Macaca fascicularis: one gene and its partners. The protein of the gene in region 2 purifies or fractionates together with the protein of the main gene of each other region. This does not show direct contact. Links are inferred from orthologs where the notes say so. Each region holds a gene or a part of one and is shown on either strand. Other genes may lie near its edges.

What was found.
Region 1: the proteins of SNX9 (region 2) and DNM1 purify together in Homo sapiens (co-immunoprecipitation; 6 studies listed by BioGRID and IntAct, counting the BioPlex papers as one, with this or other methods). This does not show direct contact. The link is inferred for Macaca fascicularis from reciprocal best matches to the Homo sapiens genes SNX9 and DNM1.
Region 3: the proteins of SNX9 (region 2) and DNM3 purify together in Homo sapiens (co-immunoprecipitation; 3 studies listed by BioGRID and IntAct, counting the BioPlex papers as one, with this or other methods). This does not show direct contact. The link is inferred for Macaca fascicularis from reciprocal best matches to the Homo sapiens genes SNX9 and DNM3.
Region 4: the proteins of SNX9 (region 2) and SYNJ1 purify together in Homo sapiens (co-immunoprecipitation; 3 studies listed by BioGRID and IntAct, counting the BioPlex papers as one, with this or other methods). This does not show direct contact. The link is inferred for Macaca fascicularis from reciprocal best matches to the Homo sapiens genes SNX9 and SYNJ1.

The regions. Positions count from the first base shown.
Region 1 is NC_088389.1:15,777,602-15,781,859, reverse strand, and holds the start of DNM1 (dynamin-1), read left to right. Parts: upstream 1-1,451; 5' UTR 1,452-1,543; coding exon 1,544-1,704; intron 1,705-2,255; exon of another isoform or gene 2,256-2,528; intron 2,529-4,258. UniProt on the Homo sapiens protein: Catalyzes the hydrolysis of GTP and utilizes this energy to mediate vesicle scission and participates in many forms of endocytosis, such as clathrin-mediated endocytosis or synaptic vesicle endocytosis as well as rapid endocytosis (RE).
Region 2 is NC_088378.1:66,161,037-66,165,244, forward strand, and holds the start of SNX9 (sorting nexin-9), read left to right. Parts: upstream 1-1,386; 5' UTR 1,387-1,575; coding exon 1,576-1,587; intron 1,588-4,208. UniProt on the Homo sapiens protein: Involved in endocytosis and intracellular vesicle trafficking, both during interphase and at the end of mitosis. Required for efficient progress through mitosis and cytokinesis. Required for normal formation of the cleavage furrow at the end of mitosis.
Region 3 is NC_088375.1:29,601,714-29,605,276, forward strand, and holds part of DNM3 (dynamin-3), read left to right. Parts: intron 1-493; coding exon 494-643; intron 644-1,779; coding exon 1,780-1,983; intron 1,984-3,563. UniProt on the Homo sapiens protein: Microtubule-associated force-producing protein involved in producing microtubule bundles and able to bind and hydrolyze GTP. Most probably involved in vesicular trafficking processes, in particular endocytosis.
Region 4 is NC_088377.1:14,231,769-14,235,331, forward strand, and holds part of SYNJ1 (synaptojanin-1), read left to right. Parts: intron 1-335; coding exon 336-476; intron 477-771; coding exon 772-964; intron 965-1,834; coding exon 1,835-1,993; intron 1,994-3,563. UniProt on the Homo sapiens protein: Phosphatase that acts on various phosphoinositides, including phosphatidylinositol 4-phosphate, phosphatidylinositol (4,5)-bisphosphate and phosphatidylinositol (3,4,5)-trisphosphate. Has a role in clathrin-mediated endocytosis.

The DNA of each region.
Region 1 (4,258 bases), on a different chromosome or scaffold from region 2:
ACAGCACAGGGAAATGACTCACTGACTCCCCATAAGCACAGTGTAGGCTAGCCTTCCCTTCCTAGCCTCCGCCATGAATACTAATTAGGTTTCTTAAATGCAGAGGTGGATGGCTGGGCTCAGGGCCCCATGGTCTCTCCGTGTGAAAGGGTAAGCAGGGCAGGATTGTAGGAGGCTTGGATTTGAATCCCACTGCTTTTTTTTTTTTTTTTTTTTTTGTGAGACGGAGTCTCGCTCTGTCGCCCAGGCTGGAGTGCAGTGGCGCGATCTCGGCTCACTGCAAGCTCCGCCTCCCGGGTTCATGCCATTCTCCTGCCTCAGCCTCCTGAGTAGCTGGGACCACAGACGTCCGCCACCACGCCCAGCTAATTTTTTGTATTTTTAGTAGAGATGGGGTTTCGCCGTGTTAGCCAGGTGATCTCCCGACCTCGTGATCTGCCCGCCTCGGCCTCCCAAAGTGCTGGGATTACAGGGGTGAGCCACCTCGCCCGGCCGAATCCCACCGTTTTATGCTGTTTTACCACCATCCTAATGGGCTGGAGCAAAGACTTCCAACTCTAGGGCAAGAGCTTCCAATTCTCCCAAGAAGGGCCTTTCAGGCATCAGGGCCTCTGCACTTGCTGGTCATTCAGCCTGGCATGCTCTTCCCCCGATCTGCTTGCTGCTGGCTCCTTGTCATCGTTCTGGTCTCTTCTTAAATGTCACTTCTGCAGAGAAGTCCCCCGACTCCTCCCAAGTCAATGTGAACTTTCCACACCCACAATGATACCTTTTTTTCACACTGTTTATTTCCTCCATCCCTGTTACTATAAACTATTTTCATTTTTACTGTTTTGTGTATCTGCTTATCCATTTAGTGTCGATCTCACCAGCTTGATGCAAGATCTATGAGGGCAGAGGCCTTGGCTGTCTTATTCGTTGCTCAATCTTCCGTGCCTAGGACAGGGCCTGGCTTCTAGCAGGTACCTAGTAAATATTTGTTGAATTCATGCTCCAACTTTCTCCTTCTAGAAACAAGGAAACTGAGGACCAAAGGCAGAAAGGGACATGTTGGAGATCAGAGTCAGGATCTAGGGGTCGAAGGCAGCGAGGTGAAGGGGAACTCCAGGTCAGGAAGCTGTGACCTCAGAGGAAGCCCATCTACTCTCCAGGCCTCAGTTTCCTCATCGGTAAGATAGAGTGAAACATCCATGACCACTATCCAAGAGGCCTGGTACTAGGAGTGAGACCCCACCCATTGACAAATATATTCTGCGCAGCATCCGTCCGCGCACCCTAGACACTGCTAAAGCACCCCGAAAGCCGCAGAAGGTTAAAACTACGACACCCATGGTGCCCCGGGCGGCGCCTGCGCACGGCGGCCGGCCCGCAGCGTCGCGGGCTCCCCCTAGCGGCTTCCCGGAGCGGTGCTCGCTCCGATCCCCGAGGGGCGGGGGCCGCGCGGCTCAGGCAGTCGGGGCGCGAGGCTGCAGCGGCGGAGCCGGAGTCGGAGCCGGGAGCGCGAGCGGCAGCCGGATCGCAGCCTGCGGGGCCCGCCGCAGCCATGGGCAACCGCGGCATGGAAGATCTCATCCCGCTGGTCAACCGGCTGCAAGACGCCTTCTCTGCCATCGGCCAGAACGCGGACCTCGACCTGCCGCAGATCGCCGTGGTGGGCGGCCAGAGCGCCGGCAAGAGCTCGGTGCTCGAGAATTTCGTAGGCAGGTAGGCGCGGCGCGCCCCCAGGCGCCGACCCCCGACCCCCAGGATCCCCGGAGTCCCTGCCCGGGGCACCGACGGCGCGGCGACCTCGCAGCCCCCGACGCTGCACCCGCGGCCGGCGCGCCCCCCACCCCCAGCCGGAGCGAGGCGGCCCTCCCCACCTCGAGAGCCCCTCCGGGCAGCAGCGCCGCCCGCTAGTCTGCAAACGTCGTCAAGCCTCCGGCTGCCGAATCACGCCCCCTCCTCCGTCCCATCCTTTAGGGCAGACAACCCTCTGACAGAAGCCCTGGCCAAAGGGCTGCCCCCCGCCCCCAACATGGGCATGGAGAGAGCCCGCATTACTCAGCGCCTCCGTTGGGCTCCGGGAGTCCCTTGGAGCGGGCAGCACCCGGGGGCAGCGGCCCCCCCACCGGACTCTATGGGGGACATCCTCCTACCCCCATGGGAATTCCTGGGCCGTGGCAGGGGTCAGACCCCCACCCCAGTCCCTAAAAGAGGACGTAGTCCCGTGGGCATCGAGGACCCGGTACGGCCTCCCCCCGGCACACACACACCTCTGCGGCTCCCGCCGCCATCCGTGCGCAGCGCGGCGGAGAGGGGGAGGCGCGGGCTGCAGGATGAGGAAGGGAAGAGGGGAGGAGAAACCACTTCTTATCCTTCTCTGAGCAGCCGGCCCCTTGCTTCGCCACGGCCCCTGGGTGGGGGGCGCCTCTCAGTGTCGCCGTCCCCTTGGCCTGGCCAGAGGGATCGTGATGGAGGGAGAGGCGGCAGAGGGCAGAGATGACTAAGACCGGGATGGCGGGAGGGGGGAGCCATTTGCAGAACCTAATCCCCCTCCCGCCTCTGATCCCACAAGGCGCTGGGAGGCCTAGGTGGCGGAGAGGGGAGCAACCACAAAGACAAAGGGTCCTGGGATTACGGGGGCAGGGAGGGTCGTGACCCCCAGGCTCTCCCCAAACCCCCAGGGGGAGGAAGAAACAGTTTTTCTGGTGCTGAGGACAGAGAGGAAAGATAGGAGCTCTCCAGGTACTGGAGGTGAGATGGGGGGCTGGGCAGACTGGGAGACGAAGTGAGAGAGTTTACACTGACCCCCTCTTTCATCTCCCCCCCATCTTCTTCAGAAACCCTTGCTTTCTTCCAATGACCTTCAGGGCCAAAAAAGTGACTGGCACATGGGAGAGGGAGGCAGGGGTCCTTCTCCGCAGAGGGACAGCAATTCTGTCCAAGCCAGGTTCTGCTGCAAAACCTCAGGCAAGTCACTTGCCCTCTCTGAGCCTTAGTGTCCCCATCTCTAACATGGACAGTGGGACTAGATGGTTGTTCCTGCCCCTCAAATGTCCTGGGAAACCCATGCCAGCCCTAGAGGTGAGAGGGAGAGGGCCTGACTGGAGCCACGTATGTGTGGGATGTTGGAATGCCACCGTGGAGGCGGCCGTGCCCATCTGGTCAGCAGAGGGGGAGGCATCTGTCTCTCCGATGGCTCCTGCAGAACCCCCCTTCTGATCACATGACCCCCAGAGCTGCAGAGACCCAGGCAAGAGACACACAATGAGCCCCTTCCCCAAGGGCCGGCAGTCAGGGACAGCCAACAGTTTAGAGTGGAGAAACCATATTCCTACCTCTCCTCCTTTGAATGTTGGCTGAATTCCTGCCCCACGCCAGGCTGCGTGCTCCAGGCTTGGGGTAGGGAGGGAACCAACTGGTGATTTCAGCCCCCGTCTACTGAGTCCATCCTATGTACCCCCTATGCTGAATCAGTCATAGGCTCACAGGAGCTCCCAAGAGGCAGGCACCATGATGCCCATCCTACAGATGAGGAAACTGAGACCCTGGAGGTTAAATGCCTTGCCCAAGGTCACACATTCAGGAAGGGCAGCAGCTGTTAGACTCCAAAGCCCAGTTCCTAATCTCGACGCTGCACATCCTCTGAGAGCCGGATCCTGCACCAGACACAGGGACAAGCGGGTGGGTGGGCCTCCATTTCCCCATCTGTGGAATGGGAACGCTGACAGCCACTGCCCTGCCTTCCTGAGAAGGTGACTGTGGGCTCCACTGAGTTCATGGGTGGAAAGGTTCTTTTGTAAATATGCGGGACAGGGCGTTGATAGCCAATTAGGCTTGGGGACCTGCATGTCCAGCCCCTGCCCTCCTGGAGCCCATGATGCAGGGGCCAGCCCTGACCACGGCAGATTTCAGCAAGTACTTGCTGGCTGAGTGGCGGAGCAGGGTGTGGACTGTACCCCAGGAGGCCTGGGCCCTCTGGCTGCCCTCTGCACCCCAATGCCCTTGGCCAGGTCCCCACAGGAGGATGTGCAGGGTGTCCAGATGCAGGCTCAGGGCAGGGGAGGGGGCTTAGGTTGATGTGAAGGAGTAGGCAGGAAAGCATTCATGATCCCCTGAAAGCTAGTGAGAAGGCCAGGGAAACTGAGGCTCAGTGGGTTCCACCATCTCAGCCTGACAGCTCCTTCAAGGGCTCCTGACCTCTCCAACAGGGCTCAGTCCCCAGCCTGGTGAGCATAGTAACAGCCATTCTGTCTCCTGGGGCTTCCCAGGAGCC
Region 2 (4,208 bases):
GGTCCAAGGCTGTGGTCATTTTCGATTTGAGTAAGTATTACCAAAAGCGCAAGTTATTTAAGTGAGCCCTGATTCGCTCTTCTTTGTAAACAGTGGACAATAATGAGCTTCTCAAACGTTTCTTATAAGGATTAAATGAGATGGGGATGTAAAAGCCCAGTATATTAGCAAGCAGGCTGTCAATGAATATTGGCCTCCATCTTTTTTTATGGAGAAAGACAACTATTTATGCATATTATGATGACTATAGCTTAACCATGAGCTCAACAAACACAAAAATTCACAGAAAATTCTGCGATACCGTATCTATTTTAAACCACATTATTGAATGTAACTAGTGAAACCTCAGGTCAAATAGAATGTATTTAAGGAGACACAAACTTGACATTAACTCTAAATATCAGAGTATTGAAGATTTGATAGTTGTCTCTTCTTACAAATATATCCCTCATAATAAAAAAGCACTCCACTAATATGCCAATTATGATACATCTTCCAGTTGTGTTTTGTCCTTGAGCGAAAAATCTTGCTGCTCAATTCAAGTCATTCGTTTATTCATAACACCCATATATATATCTCCAACCCTGGAGAGAAACACTGACAGAAAGATGGAAAATTTTAGAGCCCTCGTTTCCACTTCAGAGAGCCTGTTGTCCCCTAAACCTCTTGGGCCCTCGGGCATTTTTAAACTTATCAAGATTCCAGAATGAGGTTAATGGGACGTCACAAAACGAACCCCCCACCGTCCCGTCCCAGGGGCTCCAAGCCAGGACCCCAGCCTGAGGGAGCCTCCGGGCAGGAGAAAGAGGCCCAGGAAGCCATTGCTCCGTTCCTTCCCGGCTGTTTACGTGGCACTCAAGGTACTCGGCCAAGGGCACGGCGACCCCGCAACACCCCCGGCGTGGGGCAAAGACAGCGGGGTTGCGGGGCTCCTGTCTGCCGGGAGCGTCGAGAGTTCCTGCCCCCCCGCCCGCCTCATGCACGGAAAGCCCCGAGCCACGGCGTGCGGCGCTGGCCGAGCGTGAACCGGAGTCGGGTTCGGCTCCCCCGAGCGGCTGTGCGGGCCGCGGAGCGCTTCCCGTGGGGCGGCCACGCAGGGTGCGGGCCATGGCCCGGGGCGCCTGTCCGGATCCCGCCGCCGCGCGGGACGCAGCCCCCGTCCTCGACCCAGGGCGCCCGGCGGCGGCGGCAGCGACTGCCCGGGGCGGCGGCGCGGCGCGGCGCAGCGCGGGGGCGGCCAGGAGGCGAGGAGGCCGGGCCGCGGCCGAGGGCCCAGGGCGCGCTTCCGCCGGGCGCCGCGCGCGCCGCGGTAAATGGGAGGCTCGGCCGGCAGGGGCGGGGGCCGCGCAGCCGGGGACTTTCAGGAACTGCAGGAGCGGGCGGCGCGGGAGTAGCCGAGCGCCCAGCGGCTGGGCCTGAGCGTCGAGACTCGGGGCCGAGGCGCAGGAGCGGCCGCCGCGCCGGGGCCCAGCCGGAGCCGCCGCCCTCGCCCTTGCCTTCGTCCGCGCGGCTCAGAATCACCATCCGCGGCGCGGGAGACAAGCCGGCCGTCCCGGGCCGGGGGACCCGCCCGCCATGGCCACCAAGGTGAGGGGCGCGCAGCGCAGGCCCGGCCGGTCGCTCAGGCCCGCGGCGGCGCGGGGACGGTCGGGGCTGGGGCCGCGGGGAGGGTTGGGGCCGGGGGTGGCCGAGGGGTCACTCTGCGTCCTCGGTGGGGTCCCCGGGCGGGTCCGCGGCCCAGCCAGTCCCTTCTGGGCATGGGTGCGGCGGACCGTGCAGACGGCCGGGATCGCGCCGGGGGAGGGCGTCGGGTCTGGGCGCGGGTTGGGACCCCGGGCGCAGCGACGTTTGGGAAGTTTGCACCTGAGCGTGGGCTGCGGCGGGCTCGCCGGGAGGGGCCGCGAGAGCGGGACGGAAACTTCCCGCAGCCCGGGGAGGCCCCCGAGGCGACAGGCTCTCTGTGGCGTCCGGTGTCCCCGCGGCGTCTGGCGTCCCCGCCGCCCCCACGTCCCCTCCCGCTGCCGCCCAGGGGACCCTCGGCCCCGTGGGGCGGGTGGGGGTCGAGACCTCAGCAGAGAGGACGCTGCGCTTCCCGTCCCGGCCTGCGGGAGCTCGCGGCCGGGGAGAGACGGAGGCTGGGACACCCCGCGCCCCTCTGCCTTCTCTGCTGTTATTTTTTTCTTTTGTTTTGCTACCTTCTCAGTGTGAATGGTATTGCCGGCATGAATAAAATATCAAGAGGGAAATGACTGTGCTTTCGATTACGTGTTTGCCTAAAAAAGGCCCAGGCCCGAATTACGTGGTGGAACTTTGACTCCTGCTTGGTAATTGGCTAGGAGCGGTGGTTTGCTTGTTTTGCATTATTGTTTATGAAATTAGCAGTCACTCTTTGCTACCTGAATCTTCAAAAGCCACCCTCCCCCACTTCTTTTCCTTGGGCGTTTTCAGTAGTTACTTGGTGTAAAATAGTCACTGGGGAGTCATGGTCGCGGAAGGAGGACCTGGGGGAGGAGGCTCTGTACCTGAACCATTAACTGTTCTGTGATACGCTGTGAGGAGTAGGTTTACTTTTGCACTTAGTTTTTGTAGTGTCACTTTATTAGCATCAGCACCCCTTTCCCTATTTTTTTTTTTTTTTTTGAGATCTCTGAGCTACTTTTGGGTTGCTAGAAACGTTATTTTTTATATTTCGATAGGTGTTTGCTTTTTTTGGTGGAGTGTTAAGGTAGGAAATGGTAAGAAATGTGAAATCTGTTTAAAAGATCAGCGTTGCTTGACTTCGGTCTGCTAGATGTTGTCCTGTGGTAAATTTTGTGCTCTGAATCCATCTAGGTGCAGCGTTTATAGAGAAGTGGGGATTCTCCTCCAGGGAACCTGTTGCTGCTGTTACTGAAATAATTACCTTCTTGTTAATATATTATTGCCTGTGCTGTGCTTTGGTTTTATTAATGTGATAGAACTTGCCACCTTTTGAACTTATTAATTTTGTGTTGACCTTTTTAAAAATAAAACTTAGGCCAAGGATTTCTAAGGAAATTTGATTTTGAGGTTTGTTGCCAGACACTCCAGAAATTACCAGTTACACATCCTAGTACACGCTCATCTTGCAACCTTAACAGCGGTTTATAGGCTGGGCGCGGCGGCTCACTCCCACCTGTAATACCAGCACTTTGGGAGGCCGCGGTGGGCGGTTCACCTGAGGTCGGAGCTCCATACAGCCTGGCCAATATGGTGAAACTCCGTCTCTACTAAAAATACAAAAATTAGCTGGGCGTGGTGGCGCGCGCCTGTAGCCCCAGCTGCTCCGGGAGGCCGAGGCAGGAGAATCGCTTGAACCCGGGAGGCGGAGGTTGCAGTGAGCCAAGATGGCGTCACCGCACTCCGGCCTGGGCTACAGAGCGAGGAGACTCCGTTTGAAAAAAAAAAAAAAACCAAGGCGGTGTATGACATAGAGATCTGTCCAGTGGTGGTCTGTGTGTTTTTACACTCCGGTCTACTGAGGCATGTTACCTGTACTGTCCTTTAAGTGGAATGCAGTTTAGCAACTAGTGCAGGTATACGTAGTGAAATTTTTATTTCATAGTTAAGCCTGAACTTAATTTTTTTTTCAAAAAATTGAAAAGTGGTTCTTGTATATTAATCTTGAATTGCATGTGTCTTTGCTTAAACACGAGCCTTAAAACATGCATAAGCACTTCCTACTTCGTTATCTACACCACTCCGAAGGCAAATTCCAGTAATTCTGTTAGTTTCTTTCGCTGTCTAATCACTGTTCCACATGGTGCTCATTTCCATGTCTACATTGTGACAGACCATTTCCATTTTAAGAAAAAGAAGAGCAATGAAGCAGTTATTAGAAGAAGACCCTTCCTTAGTTTTCTGACATCCTGGTGATACTTGGGTCAAACCAAAGTCTCATTTTTTAATTGTCCCCAGAGAGACAAGTTGCTACTTTCACTTGCCCCATATACACACCCCTTCCCCACACCTGAGTAGTTCTGTTTTTTTTCTTCGTCTTCTTCAAGGGTGGGGAGAATGTGCTTAGTAGTAATGACTAATTTTTAATAAATGGCTCCAGTGGCACTCAGGCTGTTGCTGTAAGTATTAAGTGATGAAACGTAAATTCAGGATCTGGATATTTTAGGGGATGTTCATTTCCCTTTGAATTTACCAGAAACTTGGCTATAGTATCTTCAGATACAATTTTC
Region 3 (3,563 bases), on a different chromosome or scaffold from region 2:
TTCCATATATTATTTATTTTTAACAAATTAATCAAATGATTCCCCCTAACTTATTTTACCTTCTGAAGATATATTTATATAACTTGGCATTCCATCCTGATGAAATGGTGATACTGAAGAGGGAAATGCTAACAGAACTCAGTGGTATCCTAGATCTAATGTTTTTAACAATCAGGTGCTGTTGTTTGCTTTGTCATTTGGACAGCCAAAATTTTCTTTAAATTATTTAATAGGCTTTGTGCTTTAGGGACTGGTTATAGTATTTAATTGCTCAACTGAAAATTAGCAAATTTAGCATCTATAGCATCTGTACTATGTTTAATATTTCTGAAGTATTAATTGTGATTCTTAGTAACTACTGTGTTCTGTGGGATGTTCATGAGGGATGAAGAGAGAATATCGGATAATTTGACTTATAATTAAAGAAACATTTTTTATAATATGGCAAAAATGCATGAATTTAAGTCGTGTCATTTTGGTTTTGTTTTTGTAGAATATGCTGAGTTTCTACATTGCAAAGGAAAGAAATTTACAGATTTTGATGAAGTTCGGCATGAGATTGAAGCAGAAACAGATCGCGTGACTGGAATGAATAAAGGCATTTCCTCCATACCCATTAATTTACGAGTCTATTCCCCACATGGTAAGTAAAATAATAAAATTCCAAATTCTTCTCCCCAAACATTTTTACTACATTAATTAACATACATCATTTGTACAGAAGATACAAACAGTGCTGGCTTTCTAGGGTATCCTTTGGATACTGCCCATTAATGTTATGGTTCAAAGAGCTCTTAGAACATTTAAGGAGAGGGAGGAGGAGATGACTTTAATAAAAACAGAATTGAGTTAGTCATTAAATATTTTTTCTTCATTTTCATAATAAGCTTTTAGAATTTGAGAAGGGTATGTATGAAAACTTCCATTTTTCAGTCTTTGCTGAAATCTTAGAGGTACATGTTACTATGGTTGCATCCTCCCCTATTGGATTTCTTGCAGCCATATATAGTCCTATTTATTTTCTTCCTGAGAAATCAGCTCTGAGTTTTCCCCCCAGACTATCGGTAGAAACTTATAAATTAGATAACCAATCCATAAGGTGTGATGGGAAATAGCCTCTATGCTGACTAAATTTTTAGTGGGCAAATTTTCATTTCTTATTCCCTACTTAGCTCTATTGCTTTTAAAACAGAATATAAATGACATAAGCTCAATTAGGACTTCCCAAGGGTACTTGGTGCCAACATTATTTGTACAGAGAGGTTGGGCTAGAGTCATGTTGTTGCTGACTCTGTTCATACAGCTAATTCAGTAAACCCAGGGCACCACGAATGGCTAACAGCTTTCTACTAGGCTAAGTGGTTAACTTTCTATAAAAAACATATGATACTTTTTAAGGAAAGGGCAAATCTTACCCTGCGAGTTTTTATACCACTTGAAGGCGATGTACAAGACTGGCAGACAGCATATGCATTTTTCGTTTGGTGTTTTAATTATAACCCCCTAGTTACAGATATGACAGCTTTCTGAGCAAACTGTTAGGCATGCAAATCAGTGCCTTTCAAATTATGTTAAAGTGATCATTTGGCATAGCACAATCATATCATAAAATTAGAGAAAACTAGCAAAACCATTTTTATTTTATGCTTTTTATTCTTCACACATGGGTTTGAGTTGTTCAGATACACAATGTAGAAAGCTGAGCTAAGTGACAAATGGTTCTGTGTTATCTTTTAGCATTGAAGGTGTATGTAAGACTCTTTTATCCTTTCCACACAGTGTTAAATCTAACCCTTATTGATCTACCTGGGATAACCAAAGTGCCCGTGGGAGATCAGCCACCAGATATTGAGTATCAGATCAGAGAAATGATTATGCAGTTCATCACGAGGGAGAACTGTCTGATTTTAGCTGTTACTCCAGCCAATACTGATCTTGCAAACTCAGATGCGCTGAAGCTAGCTAAAGAAGTTGATCCTCAAGGTGAGTGTGTGACTACTAAGATGAGAGGGAATTAAAGTGTCAGGAGTTTTGGTATCTTTAAAGGTAACACAAATTCTCAAGACTCGATTTCATTATAAATAAATTAGGCATTGTTAATATTGTTAAACCTTTTGTATTTTAAATACAAATTCAGTATTTAATATTAAAAATAATTTAGTAAAGATTTACTAAAATAATGAAATTTATATAGTCAAAACCTATATAAATCTAAGAATAATGAGATCAAGAAAATAGACATTTCTAAGCCTCATGGGCTATGTATTTTAAAAAGTTGATAAAGTAAACTTCTGGTACAGCAGAATTCAGACAATCTACTAATATTATGAGTTACCTGCATATACTCCCAACGAAAAGTCTTTCTGTGTTTTTTCTTTGTCTTGTTTCTTTAAAATAGGAAGCTCTATTAATGCATGTAAGATATTATTTAGTTTATAATTATTTGAGAACCAATATATATAAAAGCAGGGATTTATTTGTTATTGCCATCTCAAAATCCAGAAAAGTTCCTTTCTTAGGCGGATGTTTTAGCTTTTTATTTCTCTGAGTTGAATAATGACAGTTTATCATCAGAGACCTCAATGCTGGCCTCGGTGTGTGTCTGTTTAAAGTGACCACGGGGCCGGGTGCAGTGGCTCACGCCTGTAATCCCAGCACTTTGGGAGGCTGAGGCAGGTGGATCACGAGGTCAGGAGTTTAAGACCAGTCTGGCCAAGATGGTGAAACCCCATCTCTACTAAAAATACAAAAATTAGCTGGGCGTGGTGATGGGCGCCTACAATCCCAGCTACTTGGGAGGTTGAGGCAGAGGAGGTTGCAGTGAGCTGAGGTCGCACCATTGCATTCCAGCCTGGGCGACACAGCAAGAGAGCAAGACTCCATCTCAAAAAAACAAAAACAAACAAAAAAAAACATAATAATAATAAAGTGATTGCGGAAGGGCATTTAGTGATGTGCCCTTTTAATACGGAGATGCATGTACTTCAATTTTAGGAATTTTTCTTTGTTTCATAATTAATTGCCCCAATTTTCTTTGTTCTTTTTATCTGTAGTTCTTATTATTAGCAGGTTAGAACTCCTGAATGAATCCTTTATTTCAATCTTTCTTTTCTATAATCTATTTCTTGTCTTTTTGTTCTACTTTTAGCAAGATTTACTCAACTTTATCTTCTGCTTTTCCGATTCATTTTAAAAGTTCATTTTTTTTTACTTAGTGAATGTTATTTTTATTTTTAAAAATAGCATCTTGTTCTTGTTTTCACAAATATAATATCTTCCTCCAAGGATTTTAGTGAGAGCTTTTTGAAGGTTTTCTTTTGTAATCGACATTGTCTGAGTCCATTGTTTTCTGATTGTTTGTTTTTGTTTCTGTCTTTGATGTTAGAGACCTTTTTCAAATGTTTGTCCATCTTTTGCCACTTGTTCGTGCATGAAAGTGGAGCACCAAAAGCTAATTTGTGTACATGAGAGGGATTCATTGACCAGTGGGTTTTCCCGTGGAGTAACTGTGCTGAGAGTTGACCATTTTGTTAGGAGACTTCCTCAATCGTTAGGTTCTAAGA
Region 4 (3,563 bases), on a different chromosome or scaffold from region 2:
CTGGAACCAATCTCCCATAGTACTGTACTTCTCTGTCATCTTAATGAATACTTAAGGAAAAAGTAAAATGTATAAGTTTGAGTTTACTCACCCAGTGAGTAGTCATTTAATGTCTTTATATTTTCTTTGTAAAGAAGTAATAAATTAGATTTTGAAGTGTGGTTTTCTTTTGGCTAAATTATAGATTTTCCTTTTTAAAGGAAACAAAAACAGCCTAAGCTTCCTTCAGAGTCTTAGGAAATTTGGGTAGATGAAGGTGTAATTGGCAATTGTCATAAAAGAGGCTACTGTCAATTATCTTTTTAAAAAATTCTCTTTTTAATATTTTCTTGTAGCACAACAAATCAGAAGCTCTGGGCTGTAGAACTTCAGAAGACAATCTCCAGAGACAACAAGTATGTGCTGCTGGCTTCTGAACAGTTGGTGGGCGTCTGTTTGTTTGTTTTTATCAGACCACAGCATGCTCCTTTTATCAGGTCAGTAAACAGAACACTCCTCTAAGGCTACTTCCTACCATTACATAACAAGAAAAGCCTAGAATGTTTATTGTTTCAGTTCTTCAAACAAAAACTATCTATAGTTCTTGTTTTAAAATGGGGTTTTGGGGGTTTTGATTAAAGACTCACTAATAGCTTCACTGTACTATTTCAAAGGCTTGCCCTCAAAGTACCATACCATGTGTACTTATATGATTATGTATATTCCTAATTTCCTATGCACATGGAACTCTTGAAATTTCAAATCTGCGATTTAGAATTCTTTGTTTCAAAGGGATGTTGCAGTTGATACTGTGAAGACTGGAATGGGAGGTGCAACTGGAAATAAGGGAGCAGTTGCAATCCGAATGCTCTTCCATACAACCAGCCTTTGCTTTGTCTGTAGCCACTTTGCTGCAGGACAGTCACAAGTCAAAGAAAGAAACGAAGATTTTGTAGAAATAGCACGAAAATTGAGTTTTCCTATGGTAAGCTCTTGCTGCTTGTTCTTGAAGATAAAGCTTTGAAATGTATTTTAATTTGCCCCAAATTCTACATCATTGTTTTTGAAACTTTAAGATAGTTCCTAGAAACATTAAGAATATTCACCTAAATAGATATTTCATGTATATTAACCCAAAATATCTGAGACAGGTCTCAGTCAATTTGGAAAGTTTATTTTGCCAAGGTTAAGGACGTGGCCATGATGTAGCCTCCAGAATTCAGAATGAGATGTGCCCAAGGTGGTCAGGGGCACAGTTTGCTTTTATACATTTTAGGGAGACCTGAGACATCAGCCAATATGTGTATGATGTACACTGGTTCGGTCTGGTAAGGCAGGACAACTCGAAGTCAGGGCTTTCAGGTTAGAAGTAGATAAGAGGCAAAAGGTTGCATTCTTTTAAGTCCTAGATCAGCCTTCCACTGAATACATAATTTAGTCTGGCTCAGTGAATCCGCATTTTTACATAAACAATAGGGCAGAGGAAGCAGGCAGATGTGCATTTGTCTCAGGTGAGTCTCAGAGGGATGACTTTGAGTTCTGTCTATACTTTGTCCACAAGGAATTTCCTGTGGGCAAATTGTGAGGGAGTATGTAGCTTCTTATCTTTGGAGCTATCTTATTTAGGAATAAAGTGAGAGGCAGGTTTACCTGTCATAGTTCCTGGCTTGATTTTTCTCTGGGCTTAGTGATTTTGGGGTCCTGAGATTGATTTTCCTTTCACATGTGTTATTACTGTTGGGTTAAAGAAACAGGACATGGGAGGAGACAAGCATATCTCAGGCAAAGAAACAGTTGTAAAACATTTTTGAACATTGATTGTTTTGAATTTAAAGTTCTGTCTCATTGCTTTCAGGGAAGGATGCTGTTTTCCCATGACTATGTATTTTGGTGTGGTGATTTCAACTATCGAATTGATCTCCCTAATGAAGAAGTTAAAGAGCTCATAAGACAGCAAAATTGGGATTCTCTTATAGCAGGAGATCAACTTATCAATCAGAAAAATGCTGGACAGGTATATCCATACTTCTTGCATTAAGATTTTGGGTCATGAAACATGCCTTTTTAAATCAAGATGTTTTAAAATTTTCTTGGGGTCTTTTTATACTTAAATATTTATAGGTAGGTAAATAGATAATAGAATTATCTTTCCTTAAAGTATAGTAGGATGAGCTGCACGCAGACAAGAATCCCTCAGACACCGAGTTGTAGAAGGAAAGGGCTTTATTCAGCTGGGAGCATCAGCGGACTCACGTCTCCAAAAACCGAGCTCCCCGAGTGAGCAATTCCTGGGTCATGATCGATTGAGCAAGCAGGGGGTATGTGACTGGGGGCTGCATGCACTGGTAATCAGAATGGAACAGAACAGGACAAGGATTTTCATGATGCTTTTCCATACAATGTCTGAAATCTATAGATAACACAAGCAGTTAGGTCAATGGTTAATTTTTAACTACCAGGCCCAGAGCTCGGTGCTGGGTTGTCTGCCTGTGGCTTCCATTTCTGCCTTTTAGTTTTTACTTCTTCTTTCTTTGGAGGCAGAAATTGGGCATAAGACAATATGAGGGGTGGTCTCCTGCCTTATTCCCCTCTTTGAGAACTTCACTCATTAGTGGGAGTTCTCACTTTCATCCTCACTTACCCATGTCGTCTTGCAAGACAGATCGATAGTGATTCATATAGTATACTTGTGCTGAAGCATTTTGGTGAACTAAAGTAGCAATGAAGCTTTTTATCATTTGAAAAAGTACAGGTAGCAAACAAGGGAGCAGTAAACAGGTTCCTATTACTATTATAACTCTTATTATAAGAGTTTTAAATCCTCCTTTCGCTGGGAACCATTTTCCAAGCATGGCCCCAGGATCAAATCCATGCCACACTTGCACAGGTACATGTGCCAGTTTTATCATATCTCTATGTCTTCAACTACTTGCCCTTGATCATCTATGTATAGACAGCAATTAGTAAGGTTAAATTTCCCACAGACCCCCTCCTTCAGCTGCTAGCAAGTAGTTGAGAGCCAATCTATTTTGATAGATAGCATTTCTTATCTGAGTTTCTTGCTGGGCCAGAATAGTCAAGGCTCTGCAGGTTTTATTAGTGATTATTTCTAAGATAGCTTATAACTGTATGATTCGCTTGAGCATGTAAATGGTATCCTCCTGAGCCATCTTGTGCCCAAGTAGCAGGCCCGTAATATTGTATGATTCTCTCAGGGGGCCATTCATCATCTTTCCAATTCCTATAGCTATGCTTCTCTTTTCGTGGGAAGCATAGACAGGGAAGCCCAGGAGTTCGCCTGTCTTTATGGGCAGTAGGAAGAAAGATGGTTTAATAGTGCCAACACAACTACCTGCCCACTGGTCAGGTAATTTGACGTAAGCTGTATGCCCACATATCCAGTATAATCCAGTGGGGGCTGTCCAGTTCCCCGGGAGTCCGGGTGGGTCCACATGGTTTGCAACTTTGGGAATTTACTAAGTGGATTCCTTTCTGTGTGATTTGAACTCCACCAAGTGACTGTTTTTGTGGTACCATTATACAGTTTCTGTCCCAGACAACTAAGTTGTTCTATGGGGTGAGTG